2 linked regions of the Lepisosteus oculatus genome follow. The protein of the gene in region 2 purifies or fractionates together with the protein of the main gene of each other region. This does not show direct contact. Links are inferred from orthologs where the notes say so. Each region holds a gene or a part of one and is shown on either strand. Other genes may lie near its edges.

The links. The genes of interacting proteins can lie anywhere in the genome.
Region 1: the proteins of rptor (region 2) and mlst8 purify together in Homo sapiens (affinity purification with western blotting; 15 studies listed by BioGRID and IntAct, with this or other methods). This does not show direct contact. The link is inferred for Lepisosteus oculatus from reciprocal best matches to the Homo sapiens genes RPTOR and MLST8.

Annotation. Positions count from the first base shown.
Region 1 is NC_090714.1:11,362,992-11,370,670, reverse strand, and holds the start of mlst8 (target of rapamycin complex subunit lst8), read right to left. Parts: upstream 3,217-7,679; 5' UTR 3,076-3,216; intron 2,626-3,075; exon of another isoform or gene 2,377-2,625; intron 1,928-2,376; exon of another isoform or gene 1,797-1,927; intron 1,556-1,796; 5' UTR 1,529-1,555; coding exon 1,400-1,528; intron 747-1,399; coding exon 695-746; intron 1-694. Other genes in the region: hexosaminidase D, read left to right, coding at 4,137-4,231, 5,325-5,610, 5,979-6,088, 6,433-6,520, 7,452-7,616.
Region 2 is NC_090704.1:45,061,801-45,069,315, forward strand, and holds the start of rptor (regulatory-associated protein of mTOR), read left to right. Parts: upstream 1-4,344; 5' UTR 4,345-4,787; intron 4,788-5,694; 5' UTR 5,695-5,701; coding exon 5,702-5,869; intron 5,870-7,515. UniProt on the Homo sapiens protein: Component of the mechanistic target of rapamycin complex 1 (mTORC1), an evolutionarily conserved central nutrient sensor that stimulates anabolic reactions and macromolecule biosynthesis to promote cellular biomass generation and growth.

The sequences.
Region 1 (7,679 bases), on a different chromosome or scaffold from region 2:
CCTAACGATTTAAAATCTGTTAGACTCTGTTGTGAATTGTATCAAGGCTCGAAAAATGACTTCACATCCGCTTTGCTCGACTAAACAGGCTCACCCCTCTCACTGAAATGGTGCTTTTTTATTTTTTTTTTATTTTTAATTGTTCTTGTTCCTGTTTTTTTTTCTGTAAACCGCTTTGAGAAGCCACCTTTAAAAGCGCTATAACAAATAAAGTTGATTATTATTATTATATTTATTATATGTGTATGTGAGTGTGTGCGTGCTCGCACATGTTGGTCATTGAGAATTTCTGGGGTTCCTATGAGAAGATGACTTGTAGGTGGTACTTGGATGGTTTGGTTTGATCAGGGGTGGTGCTTGGTCCAAAAGGTTTTGAGAACTACTGGTCTAATAAAATTCAAAAACTCTGGAATTAGGCACATCTGTGTTCACAAAAGTGGACAGACACAGGAGACGTGTCATGAGCATGGAGGAGAGTTGATGATACCGCCAACTTTGCCCATGGGACTTCATTAGGCTCAATAATGGAATGAGAATGGAAATGGTAGCAGGAATGAAAAGAGATACTTTATTGCATTAAGAGCTGGGAACAGTCTATCCTGCCACACCATGGAACCTGGCCATCAGGGGTCCTGCAGAAAACTGCAGATTGGGGTTCTGGTATTGATTAGACACAAGAGGGTAAGGTACTCACCTGCTGCAGCAATCATGCTGCGTTCAGGGGTCACCTCCAGGGCATTCACCTGCTGAGCAGCCAGGTTCAGGAACCAGAACAAAAATAATTAGGCAGCCCCCTGTGCCCTACTAATCATTAAGCAGAGCACATTTTACACATGATCACTACCTGTACATTGATTAGACGCCATCAACGGCACATTACTGTTGATGACCAGCTGTACAGAAGTGGACTGTGCTGTCCATCCATTCGCACATGCATTTTCAATGAGTGCTTTATCCTCAGAGGACCGCAGTGTGCCTACACCTACAGGCACAGGGTGTAGTCCTGATTCCTTGGACTGCCAGAGCAGTTAATAGGAGCACCACGAGTAAACCCACAAAGACATGGGACCATGCAAACGCCACACAAACAGAAAGGGATTGGAACTCAAGACACTGGAGCTACTAAGTTACTCACTGCCACTGTTTGATGGCATCAATGTTCAGAAATATCTGATAAGGTGCTCAAGCCAAATCATAGCCAGATACAACATTAAAAATAAAATTAAGAGATCTAATCTAATCCAGTATTTCTTAATTTATCTTCCGTCTTTGATCAGAGACTGGGCATTAGCCGCAGTGTGAAGTACTGGTCTTAACACTGTGCTCAACTCTACTCAAGACATTCAGCTTGTATAGCAGACGTTACAAGCTGCCCCATCCGGTGCCTATTTAAGGATACCGAGTCCTGGTGCTGGACGGTTCGTGTACAGATGCCGCTGTGGGCCTGCCAGAACCGCACCGTGTGGTCGTAGCCGGCTGTGGCCAGGATAACCGGGTCGCTGCCGACGGTACCTTGGTTTACATTCATGTTCCAATAAGACCGGAGCTCTTCACCCTTCATGGATCAGTACAAATATTATTTTTGTTAGTAGCCTATTCCTAATAAAATAGCAATCGTTATAAAAAACAATCTGATTTATTTATACACAAAACATTTATGAAAGATCCACCTACTCTATAAACAAATACAGTAGCAGTAGCATACAGTCTACGATACACAATTATGATGCTTTAAAACACTTAAAAGAACTAAAACAATTTAAAACTTTGTAGAATTAAAAGTATATAACACTTACACAGATGTGCCGACTCCCAAATAACACTAGTAATATAGATATTTATTTTGTAAAGCAAATATCACTTAACACCAACCCCAGTTGTTTTGAATTCCTCTCTGTAATGTTCCCCACTGCAACAAGGATTTAGACTGTAAGTTCCGACCACTATGGTCCATATACTAAGTATTCTAATTACGCTCTAAGGGATGGCTAATATAGACAAATAAATACATATATAAAACGGATAAAGCAATTGAAATCAAAACCACAGTATACTATTTTTTACTTGCAGGGAAATTTCATAAAAATGTATTTCAGTTGAAAGATCTGTTTCAAATGTTCTGTATTTTGTTAGCAATTGATTTCGCCTACGACCAGAGGGAAATTATTTTGTGAAAGAAATGGTAAAAAAATAATAATCTGACCTTAATATATTTATTTGTCATGTCCGTTTTTGGACTTGACGGTTAACTATTTTTGGATCCTCAACCTGAAATCGTTCCTTGGTGGTTTAAAACGTAGTTTAAAACGAGCCAACATCAAAATAATGTGCCAAACTAGTTTTTACTAATACTGTGTAGTGCTGCGCGCAGTCAGCAAGTGTGACAGCGCACCGTGGGGAAATGTATAATTAACGACATACTGTAGCGATCACACTGACTCTGAGCCTAACTACTGATAACGAAACATACGGAAGTAACGAAACGAGAAAGCGCTTCTTATGTTACTCCCTGACCTTGTGCATTTATTTCTGAAAATCATTTGCCATTAGAATTGTTTTTTTGGTTAAATTTCACCGCAGCACGCAGAGGGGTGACGGTAAGATCGCCTGTATCTCTTAGGTAAGGTACGTACTGTGCTGAAGTTCCTGCTATACAATTATTATCCAGAGCGAAGTAAGGTGTAATATACTGATTCAGCCTGGTATGTTAGATGGCACCAGCCTAACATGCAGCAGGTGCATTTTTCTCGTTTTATTCTTGCAAGGGGCCTGTTTTCTTACTGCGCTAAATAGCAACCGAGCAGCGCTCATCGACTATTGAATACGATGTGTACTGCACATTATATATATTGTAACGCTTACGGCCGACAGGCACTGTGTAAGTGCGTTACAATATATATTTCTAAAGCACCATTGCGTTTAGTAAAACAAAAACAAAAAACAATTTCGGTACGTGAATTTGATCAGACCCTGCATCGTTATTCATTTGTGGAGGGATAGTTTTACCGTGGTTAAGGAAGGAAGGGTCGGGGTTTTATTTTAGTGTTATTTTAATGGTAAACCAAATCACAGTACCTGTAGCGCTGCAGTTGCCCGTGGGAGTGTTGTTGACACACAGGGTGGATGGAAAACAACGTTTGTGTACACTAAATCTGCTCCACTTAAACTTAAACTCACTGCACCATTGTTATAGTAGTTTTCTACACACCGTGATTTTAAATGACGTTAAGGCAAATATTTATGTAGCTATAGGTTGTGCTTAACCTTTGCCCTCTGTTTTTTCAGGGAGCAGTGGTTGCCTGTAGAGACTATTGTAAAATCTCAAGATTTGCATCGCCCCTGTCCCTTGTAATTTGGGTATTCTGCAGGAGAAAATCATTTCTTCAGCCCATTTTGAGCGCCTTAATTGAACTTTCCACTAAGCTTTTGATAGCGATTAATGACTGCAAATAACTTTTTGTCCTTCGGGGACTATTAAGAGTAAATGTCAAAGAGGTTTTTATGTTGCAACGCAGCTGAAGTCCTATCATTCACAAGTTGCTTAACATTTAACAAGGTTTTGCCTAAACCTTTATGTGATCTTATGGAATCCACCTCTTGTCGATATGGTATGTCCTGGGCGTACAGGACGTAGGTCATCCAGAATTCAGCGCACAACAGCAGCCAATGCCTGTCCCTGTTAAGAGCTTATCAGTGCTTTACCAAGGCATATTTACTCAAGTATATTTACTTACTAGGAGCATTTTGCTTGATGGAGTGTCAGTAGGTAAGTGCCTGGGTGATGATTTACTGTGCTTTTTGGAAATCCATAGCAGGGGTGAACAGTCCTAGCCCTGGAGGGTCAGTGTGCCTACAGGTTTGCTAATTCTAATTGAAATTCAAAGCAGGCGCACTGAGAAACAGCTGGGAGAAGCTGTTCAACTGGTCCCATAGCCAATAATGAGCTTGTGAAGAGATGAGTCAGAATTAAACCCTGCAGACCAGAACTGCCCATCCCTCCTCTGTCGAATTTAGACATTTTTTGTTGTGAGGAAGAATGGCTCAGTCGGTCTCTTCTTTGCCTCTCTCTTCTGATAGAGCACCGTGCTGTTAATGCGTTGTCCTTGTTGTCTACGTTTTAGCACTGAGCTGCAGAAATGAACACCCACTTCATGAGGAAGCCGGCGGTCTTGAGACTGGTGGTGCTGTCTGTCGTGGTCCTGACTGCCGTTAGGTTCCTCCTGAGGTCCAAGTGAGTAGGATTCCTTTGAGAGACAGACAGGGCAGCCTGGTGTGGGGTGTTAAACAGCAGAGAGGCAGAGCTGCTCTTTGGGTATTAGTTCACTCCTGACCTTGAATATTACATTCCCAATGGGAATGACCAGGCATCCAACAAGAAAGTCCCAATATGTTTGTGTGATGCGCTTAACATTTGTTCTAATTTTCACTTCTTCCCTGGAGCTCACTCTTATTTCTTTATCCCATGAACATAATCTAGACGTTCCAGCTAAATCTCACCACTACTGTGCTAAAGCTGCAGCCTAATGTAAAAGTCGGTCAGGAGATGTAGGATTTGCATCTTAAGTTTACAGCCAGTGGCAGTTTCGAAATCCAGTGGTTCTGGGCAGTGTTGGTATGGTACTGTCAATCATAGAGAGGTCCTTTTCATAAAGAATGATCTGTAGAGCAAAAACAGGCTCTAACACTGTCTGCATTCTTTATGTAATCGCTTCAGTGGGCGTTTACAGGTTGCGTCTGATTTTGTGTAAAGTAAGCAAGTGGTGTGAACTGTGTATTTTGTTGATGAATTTGTATTTTATTTTAGTTGCATGTTATCATATCTATTCTATTGACACATGAAACAAAAGCCCTATGGTACCATTGGATCAAGACGTCTGTAGCAGGAAAAGAACAGTCATGTTTTTCCTTTCTGCATACTGCCTGCTTGAGTGTTTTTTTTTGGTTTTGTGTTAACATTCTTGGGCTTGTTTTTCTTGTTCTTCTACCTTCATCTCAGTTTAGTGCCTCAATTGGAATTTCTAGGTACTAGTGTAACCTGAGGCAGCTCAGTGGGCCAGTGAATAGCATTGCTGCCTCACAGCTCTGGGGCCCTGGGTTCAATTCCTGGGGCGATATCTGTGTGGAGTTTGCATGTTCTTCCTGTGTTCGTATGGGTTTCCTCTGTTTTCCTTTCACATTCCAAAACACATCAGTTTGCCAAGACAATATTTCACTTAAGCGGCTTAATTGTAGTACAGATGCAGATTGCCACAACAATCAGCCCGTCTCCTGACCAGAGCTCTGTCTCTGCTCTGTCGCTCTCTTGTCGTGTGTTTGTGTTCAAGCTCTAAGCTGCCTGTGCCTGACCCTGCTGTGTTCTGGGGGCACAGAGAGATTGGCGGAGGGGCGGTCTTGAACGAAAAGCAGACTCCGCAGAAGAAGGAGGCTCTGGTGTGGGCTCGTCAGCAGACATCCCAGTCACAGGAGCCTCAGAAGTCTCAGGGAGGAGAGGCACAGGACTCCCCGAAAAAACCCAAAGTCACCCCTCGGCAAGACACTAACCAGACTCCACTGAGGGTTGTGCACTTTGATCTCAAAGGTGCTGCCCCTAAACTCACCTATTTGGAGCAGGTGAGCAGGGCTGGAGGGGCGTATGGTGCTTTGGGTTAGAGTAAGTCTTCTTAATGAAGAGTTTATGGTACTGTGGCAGCATTCAGACTCACTTAAAACAAAGAGCCACATATGGCTTTAGAGCTGTAAGATGGTCAAGCCTGCTTATTATTCCCAACTGTAGCAGTATAGCTGGCTAAAAACACATTGCCAGAAAAAAAGAAATGCATGAAAGCATTTCAGCAGAAGGAGACTGTGATGCATAAAGGCTGCACCTGCACCTGCTTTGAAGTGTACCTGCAGTTTTGGACTGCTCCCGCGATCCGAATTTGCTTCTTAGAGCTTGAAACCACATATGCTTATAGCCTCATTGTTGTGTTTTCTCCCAGGTATTCCCATTGTTGTCTTCTCTTGGGGCCAATGGGATTTTGCTGGAATATGAGGATATGTTTCCGTATGAGGGTGACCTTCAGATCCTCAGATCGCCCCATGCCTATAGGTGAGTGCTGCTGGGCAGCTGGGTACAGGAAACTGCACACAACTCACTGCCAAGAACATGTTCAGTCTCAATTATCTGCAAAACATCTTTCAGTTTCTAATTCATTTCACTGGGCTTTAGAGTTGCATGATACTCATGGTTCCCATCAGCTTGCTCCATGCATTGAGAACTCTTTGGATCAGCTGCATGTTAAAATTAGGCTTTTAGCTTTGCAAATCAGAGAGCTGTGCTTGAGAGAGTGGCCCATGGAGTTACTTCTATATTTCTCTGTGTAGCTTCTTCTGTTACAGGAAGCTCAAGTGTTCCCACAGGGTAACTGTCCTATTGTTCTCTCATTGCTGTAGTGTGGAGGACATTCAGAAGATCAGGCACCTGGCAGAGCTCAGTAAGCTGGAGATCATCCCCCTGGTTCAAGTGTTTGGACACCTGGAGGTGAGGGAGATACATTGACCCAGAGAGTCATGCGATAGGACACATCTCTAAAACAGGGCATCTGAACTTCCCCACTTTCTGTCCCAGTGCAGCTCTAAACACGTGATTGAGTGAAGAAAACGCCCTGGTTGTGTCAAAATCCAGTAGTGGGACAGACTGCAGAGCTGGGCAGTTAGACAACTGTTTTCTAGAGCTTGTGTTTAAAGCTCAGGCATGCAAATAATGCATACAATCACATGCAGGAACATAAAACCATATTTCTACCCAGGAATCTGATTGCAGTGAACTGAATGCAGTGTATATGAAGACTGCTGTGGGAAATTCTTCATCAGAGGAGCAGAGGAGGAGCAGGACACAGTCTTGTGCAGATTCTGTTTGCACAAGACTGTCAATAAGTACACAATGCACGCTGGGTCTGCCCCACAGAACAGACACACTGCAAGGGTTTTTCCAGCTCTTATATACAGTCAGAAAGAAGTTTGTTTCACAATCTGAGTGCTTGTCTTGTTCTTTGATATGTTATTACATATTGTCCTGCTCTGTCTTGCTCTTAGTTCTGTCCTTCGATATGCAGGAGACATTGATCTGCTTTATCCTGTTTGTGGGTGTTGTTCCTGTCGTTTATGTATGTAGCATTAAGTTACTGGGGTTGCTAAAGCAAGTCCGCATTATGGCATCTTAGAGTAACTCTTGTTGAAGGCTTAATTAACAGACCCCAGCAACACCTCTCACAATGTGCTTGTGATGATATTGTGATGCTGGATAAGTGAGATATATACATGTCCCACTTCAGAGACTTTTTGGCATCTTGATCATTTTAGTGAATTCCTGGTGTGCCACCATCAGGGATTTGGGAGATGTAAACTGCTTCTCCCCAGGCTCAAGCGAGCTGTGGCCTGCTTCAGAAGTGTCTCTGATCTTGTCTGCACAGTTTGCTCTGAAGCACGAGAAGTTCTCGAACCTGAGGGAGGTGCCAGGGTTCCCCAACAGCTTGAACCCCCACGCCCCTGGCTCGCAGCCGCTGGTCCAGGCCATGCTGTCGCAGGTTCTGGACTGCCATCCCGGGCTGCGGTGGCTGCACATCGGTGCTGATGAGGTGGGTTAGGGGAAACGGGCCAACCCAAAGAGAATAGTCCAGGACGTGTAGAGTACATGTGAT
Region 2 (7,515 bases):
AAGACACACCTGGTTTTGAAAAGTGGCTGATGCAGTGCAATGGACAGTTGTCTGTGAAGTCAGTTTGTATAAAAGTTCTTATAGGTTTCCGTTGACGTTTGTTTTGACACAGTGGTCAAACAGCATTGTTTTCTGCCTCACCATCCCTCTGTTTGCTTGGTTGCACTCTCGGAATGATATGATGTCACTCTCGGAATGATGTGATGTCACTCTCGGAATGATGTCATGTCACTCTCAGAATGATGTCGGTGCCCTTGCCTGCATTCTAAACTGCCTTGATTACAGTTTACTTGCAGTAAACTCTCATATCCTGTGTGATGTGTGGTAACCTTCTAGGTCTGTTGCTGGGAGTCAATCAGCACAGTATGCTTTTTTGAGTTGAAGTTTTTAACTTTTCTTCCTTTGTGTTTTAATTTTCCCACTGAAGCCCCAGGTCTCTAACCCCACCGCCCCCATTCCCTCGTCTGTTGACTTTGCTGAATTGCTAGTCCTGTGTCAATCAGGCTCGGAGGAGACGCGGGCTCCCCACTTAAAGTTTTCATCTGCGGCCCGGTGCATAGCTGGAGCAGCTGCCAGATTGTTCCCACTCATTCAGTCACTGTGAGCTGGAACAATTAGCCCCAGCTCAGGGCTCGAGTCCTCGTCTAGAGACCCCAGATGGATGGCCAGAGTCTGGTTGTACGGTGAATGTGATCCATTTCTTTATTTTTTCGCTTGTCTTGTGTTCTTGGCGTCTCTTTCACACTTTGCGCTCTGCTGGCTGAGTTTTGTCTTTGTTAGACTCGGCTAGCAGTGTGGGCTGTGGGCACTTAGCTGGAAGGCTGTGGGCTGGTGTCCGCGCTGTGGGTACTGTGGTTGTACTCTTGAGATTTGGCATGAGTACAGCTGTCAGCCTAGCCATTGACTAGCATCCCATCGAGGGAGGGACCACTTCTGTCAGTCCACTTAACGCTGCACACACTGACTTCAGCTCCGGTCTGGTGAGCTGATGCAGGAACATGATGTCTCTCCTCAAAAGATTTGTTGCAGGCCATTTAGTGAAATGTGAGTACTTGTGTGCCTTTTAGAAGAAGGCTTCCTCCAAAAGCTCTTGAATGCGTTGTATGAGCTCAAGAAGGACACCCCATTTTAGGCTTGTTGCTTTCACTTTTTTCAGTCTTGATGCTTTTGCTGACGCAAATCTTGATGCAGCCTCTTGTGCTCGCTGTTGCCAAACGCACGACCCCCTAAACAGGTTGTGCTGCTGGCAGCACTCGTCAGGATTACAGGGACTCTCTGGAAGGAGACCCTGCTCTGCTCACAGTGCGGCTCATGCAGGCGTCCGTGTAGCTGCGCGTGGTGCTCCAGGTCAGAGGCGCTGGAGGCCTGCGGTCCCCCTCGCCTCTGCTCCCTTGACTTCCTTCCTTATCTCCAGCACATTGAATGGCCACTGACGTCTGGTCCCGTTACTAAAAGCCATGCAGCTTCCCGAATCCCCTTCATCCGAGTGGAAGAAGATTGAGTGGCTTTTTCTCATCTAACTGTCAATATTTGCTCACGCTTGGTGCTTCTGTTGCCCTTTTGGCTTTTCCCAGTGTTTTCTTACAGTAAACAGCAGCCCATCCGCCCTCCTGCTCCTGTTAATGGACGTACAACATCTGTCAGCATTCCTGAGGTGGATGGTCCATACGACAGCGTATGGCTTTTTCTCACCATGGTTTCCCTTGGGAGCAATTATTGTGGAGACAACAGCAAAGAATGGTATGATGATGGTAAACCCATTGGACTACAGCAAATGTCATGCAATCTTGCCCCAGTAAAACCCTTAGAAGGAGCATGCCTTTCTTGAATTGCAATTAAATTATTCCTTTCCAAAATATATTTGATGCTTGCATGGGGTAGACTCATATTATTATTCGGATCTAAGATTAGAGATGTCAGACTTTTTTCAGGGGGATCGCTCTTTAAATGTGGGATCCATTCCTCCCCTTGTCCGGGAGGACGAAGGGCGAATGGAGGTTCTGACACACTTCTCACACACCCGACTGCATGATTGGCCATAAGGCCCTGCTTGAGCTGCGGGGTGATTAGTCAATCAGGATTTTGACAGCTCCACAGTGTGGGTGTGCGTGTGGGCGAGGTGTGCTGGTGAGATTCGAGGAAGAAGTTTCATGGGAACTTTCTGTGCAAATGTTGATCCTAAGATCTTTTAGAAATGAATTCTGTAGTATAAGATTTTGCATCCATTGCTTTCCAACTTACGGTTTCTGCAGGCAGGAGATAGCTGAACTAGGATTGCCGGAGTCTGAACCCTTTAGCCAAAGAGCTGTGGAAGTGTGGAACAAGCTTCCCAACCAGGATACTGAAGCCAAAACCCTGGCTTATTTAGGGAAATTCTGGGATCAATTACCTGTTTAACAACCTAACAGGCTAGATGGTCTACTGTGCTTTGTAACCTTTCTTATGTTCTGATGTTATTAAAATGAGAGATTTTTTTTTCCTATTAGTCTTTGAGACTAATGCAAGACTAATGTCAGTGCAAGCAATTCATTTTATACAGATCTTTTTCTGCTTGAGGTGTCTGTAGTAGCAGGAATCCTGTTTGTGGCTGTGTGTGAGTCAGTGGTTATCCTGTTCATGCCATTTAAATCGAATGATCTCCCCTTATTCAAACAAAAGCCCTTCCTCTCACTTTCTTTGTAACGTCACGTTCAGACGACGTGATTTGGGGAGTTTGGGTAGGATAATTTCGGACTTGACATAATACAGATTTGCAGTGAATAACTGCAGCTACAAGACTACGAGAGACTTGACTTACTTTTTAGGCCCTGCGGCCGTGCTCTGCATACCGATCACTGACTTAGTGCCACTATTGTTCCCTACTCTGGCACAGTGCAGCTGTCCCTGCGGGATTCTGCACAGGTGTGGGTAGGGAATGGAAGAGCTGTGGGGCTCTTTCCTGAGGGCACTTCACCCTCCTGTGCTCTGGTCACATGACAGGAAGAGCCAGAGAGGGGCACACCGAGCAACTCAGCGGGCAGAACAAAATAAAACAAAGGAGCCTTAAGAGAGTCCTGTGTTCAGCTTCACTGTGCTGTATCAGAGCAGACTTACAACCAGCAGCTGTATCACCCTGCAGCTCATAGCTTGCAGTCCATGGAAGCTCAGCAAGTGTGAGCCTGGTCAGTACCTGGAGGGGAGACGTCCTGGGAAAGCTAAGGCTGCTGCTGGAAGAGGTGTTAGTGGGACCAGTAGGGGGTGCTCACCCTGCAGCCAGTGTGGGGTCCAAATGTTCCAGGATAGTGATGGGGATACTATAGTGTAGTAAAGGCACCATCCAGACATAAAACTGAAGTTCTGATTCTCCAGGGTTATTAAGAATACCAGTGCATTTCTCAAAAAGAGTTTTACCCTTGCGTGTTAGGGGTGTTCCCTACCAATAATGCCCATCTATGAACTGGCTTCGCTGATCCCCACTAAGAGCTGGTGTGTTGTGAGAGTACTGGCGCACTATGGCCACTGTCGCATCATCCAGGTGGGGCTGCACACTGGTGGAGGGGAGTCCCCATTACCTGTAGAGTGCTTGGAGTGGAGAAAAGCACTATATAAATGTAAGGAATTATTATTACTAGTAGTAGTGACAAAGCACGGGGAGGACTCCTAAACTACGATTTGGACATGGGGCTGCTGTGACAGACCAGAGGGAATGTTTGACGAGTTTAGCGAAACCATGGGACAGCTGCAAAACGGACAAGCTGGAGCTTCAGGTGGATTCACTTGTGCTGTCGGCACTTGGGGTTTGTTTCAGCGGTTTCTTTCTCATGCGTTTTCTTTCCCCAGCTGGTCAGGGCTGCCAGGAAGTACGCGAGGGGAAGGAAATGTGTGTGGCACCAAGCTGAATGAGCTCAGTGCAGAAACACGTTGTGTCACATGGATTTCATTCCCCATCCACCAGGCGATTTTAGTTTTGAGAGATTCAACGCAGGCACTGGGATCAATTCTGGACTGAGAGGAGTCTGCATGTTCTCCTCTGTTCACAGAGCTCTTATCCCATGTCCCTCTTCAGTTTCTGAAGACAAGTTGGCTGTGTTAACTGGCATCTTTAATTTTGCCCAGCGCTGGACAGGCATTCGGTCGTCTGCCCTGTGCTTCCACAGTTGGCTCTGAAGTGCTGCACCTAAATGGTGAATGAGGTGGGTCCCATCCTGTATGTACAGTGCTTTGGGCTTCTTCGGTATGATGAAATGTGCTATTAAGAAAATGCTTAATCTATAGTACATACTGAAAACGCCAGACCGACAGACATGGGGCGCGCAATGACTCCCACGCAACAGCCCCTCCCCTTTCGACCGCTGTGCATGCTGGGTCAAGCCGAACATGGCGGCGCCCTTGTGTTTGTGCTGAGATAGTGTCTCTCTGGAGAAACAGACGCGAATTCAGGCTCAGTGCTGTATCAACAGCGAGAGGAAGCGCCGACGGGGATATAAACGGCAGTACGAGGCAGCATATTCGGCTGTGACGTCCCTGGTTGGAGCCGGTCAGACCTTGGCGAGGCTCAGGCGGCGAGTCCGTGCGAGAATGGGCCTCTCTTTCAGCCCCTAGCGAGGAGTGGACGAAAGGAGCCCTCGAAAATACTGCCTGGGGACGGAGAGCGGGGGCCTGGGACACGGCAGCAGAGACACCTCGCCAAACCTGTTGAGTTTGCAGAGGAATTTGATGCGGGATTTTTGCCTTTCGGCTCTGCCTCTGTTTTGGGAGAAGGACGCCTAATTTTCCCTTTCCCGTGTGAGGGATTGCGGGGAGATAAGGTCCGTGTCATCTGCGAACGAGATCATCCCCATTTAAAGGGCTTCTTGTTTTCCTTACTGGCAGATTTCTCTCATGTGTCTGTTTTATTGTTTTACAAGAAGGAAATGACAATCTTGCTTAGTTGTGTTTATTTCGGATCTTGGTGCGCGCGGTAGTGTTAGGTGGTAAGACCGGTAGAAATAAGTATTGTTGCTGTAGTTTTTAAAGACTACGAATATCTCCCTTCCCCTATCAGATCGTTACACATTCTTAATTGTACGCGTGTGTTTGTGTGTTTGGGGGAGGGGGGGGTGATCATGTGTACTTCCTTCACTGAACTGAAGCCCGAACGGGTGGCTGGCTGTTCAGGTAGTGATACTTGCGTGGCGATGAAGCCGATCACGACATTCCACGCATGTCGGTACACAACCGCAGCCGATTCCGCGTTGTGTATTTGTTGACCCAGTGACATTGTCTGATCTCCACCGTGCACAACACACACACATCCTTTAAGACTCTCAGGGCTGTCCGGTCCTGGTCATGGAGGGACACCCGTGTCTGTGGGGTTTCCTTCCAGCCCAGCTCTGGTCAAGCTAAACAGTACTTACTGGTGCAAATGAGAGCCTTTACCTTCATGGATAGTTGTGTCACTTTTGAGAGTCATCATAACTGACCAGGGATGCAAAATAAAGCTGCAACCCAAGGTGGGTCTTGCCAGTGATCACTTGTCTGGCAGGCAGAAAAGCTTTCCTTCATGGTTCTCTCAGGCTCCAGGTCAGGAGTTCACCTGGGTCTTTATCAGCCTCCTCTGCGTCCATAACTAGTGGCTGTTCTAGTAGACAAGAGTGGATCTACTGATTCGCTGACCGGCTGCGGTCTCGATGCTGTGATGGGGTTGTGCTCTGAGGCGGCCGCTGGTCTTTGCAGGGCCCTGATGAGAATGGACTCGGAGCTGCTTCACTCTCCCGCCGTGGGCCTCGGGGAGGAGGAGGAAGCCGACATGACGGACTGGAACCTGCCGCTGGCCTTCATGAAGAAGCGGCACTGCGAGAAGATCGAGGGCTCCAAGGCGCTGGCCCAGAGCTGGAGGATGAAGGACAGGGTGAGCGCGCGCGCCTGCCTTCGCGATCGCCGCCGCCGTGGCGGGAATGCCAAACGCTCACAGGGCTGACGAGCGTCTTGTCCAAAGCAGTGACCCGTCTGCTTCCTGCTTGCGTTCAGCCCAGCAACTCGACATGACTGTGTTGTGAGTGAGATTTGAAGGTACTGCTTCTAGTCTTGTGCACTCCCATGTTAGTGAGCACATTCGAGCTGTTTGAAATCTAGGGGTAGGCACCAAGAATTTTTCGTTCCCTGTCCCTTTTGACCTGAAAGCACAGCACCGAAATATGTCGTCATCTGCATTCTACAAGTGCAGACAGACGTACTCTTTTAATGGCAGCAAATCGGATACGTGTCCTTGTTTTCTGGGCATTACTGCTGTTTCTTGCGCTGGGAGGCATTCAGTTTTCGTTCTGAGGCATGAGAGGTGTGTTTCAGTTGTGGGAGATCGGAGCAAGTGGGTTTTTAAGGCCCGTGCGCATGCTCATAAACAATTGTGTGTACCTGTGGAGAAAGAAGGTTGTGTCGAGCAGTTGTGAGGTGGAATTGGGTCTTTGCATGAGGCTGTCCCATGCACGTGATTTATACCTGTTGGTTTTTAATCAGCGTTGCACATTTTCTTGCATGTCTACTGCTCTGTGAATTGGCCACTCTTCTTGCGCACGTTTCTTTTTTTTTTATATGGGAGAGTTGGTTACTTTGTGATGTGTCCTTTACAGTTTACTCTTAACTTACTGTAGGGTTAAGGATTTTGAGTAGCGTCTAGTCAAATACGCATACTGTCAGGTTTTACCCTAAACCTTTATGGAAAAAAAACCTCTTATGGTAATTCAGAATATTAAATATAAGTATAAAAATGCTAAATAAAAGTAAATACAAGTAAAATGACTGTATAGGCTCACTAACTACCTCTTGTAGGTGTGCTTGGTTAATTTTTCAGAGAATAAAGCATTTTTAAGAGTATTTTTTATTTTCCAGAGCAGGTCGGATAAAGCTGAGACTGCTTAAATTGAGTCGCCAGTGTTCCGTTCACTGTAAGGAGAGCTGTGGTGTACAGCTTTGAGCTGGGATTTGAGAGCTAGGCAGGCTCAGTCTGCACCACTGGTTGTTTACCCGTTGAAGGGCTGGGGTTCTTTTTATCTAGAATGACAGGGTGATCTTTTAAACCTTTTCAGATTAAATATTAAATGTAACATTTGTTATCTAACTTTCAAAAAAATCCAAATAATTCTCCAAAACAACCAGCAATAACAGAATAACCATGGCAGTGGCACCACTGACCAGATGTGGATCTTTAAGTTTTTTAGTTACATTCAAACAAATCACTCAGCAGGCTTAGAAAATCGGTTACAAGCAGATAACCTTTGCAAGCCAAACTGGGCTCTGCCTTGTGTGATAAGTGAAATCAGATTCAAGTGTTTTTTTCTTTTAAAACATGATTCATCCTGTTTGTATTGAAGTCATTTATTAACCTTGTTTTTTTACTACACAGCATCCTTGTCTAAATATGATGCGAGCTGGAAGGGAGTAGGGGGCTAAGGGCATTTCTGCTTTGAGCTGTCTTCGGGATTTAAAATAAGAGAGGCAGCCTTATTTTTAATATAATGCTGCAAAATGTTGAATCCCTTATTTTTTATTAGTTCAGGG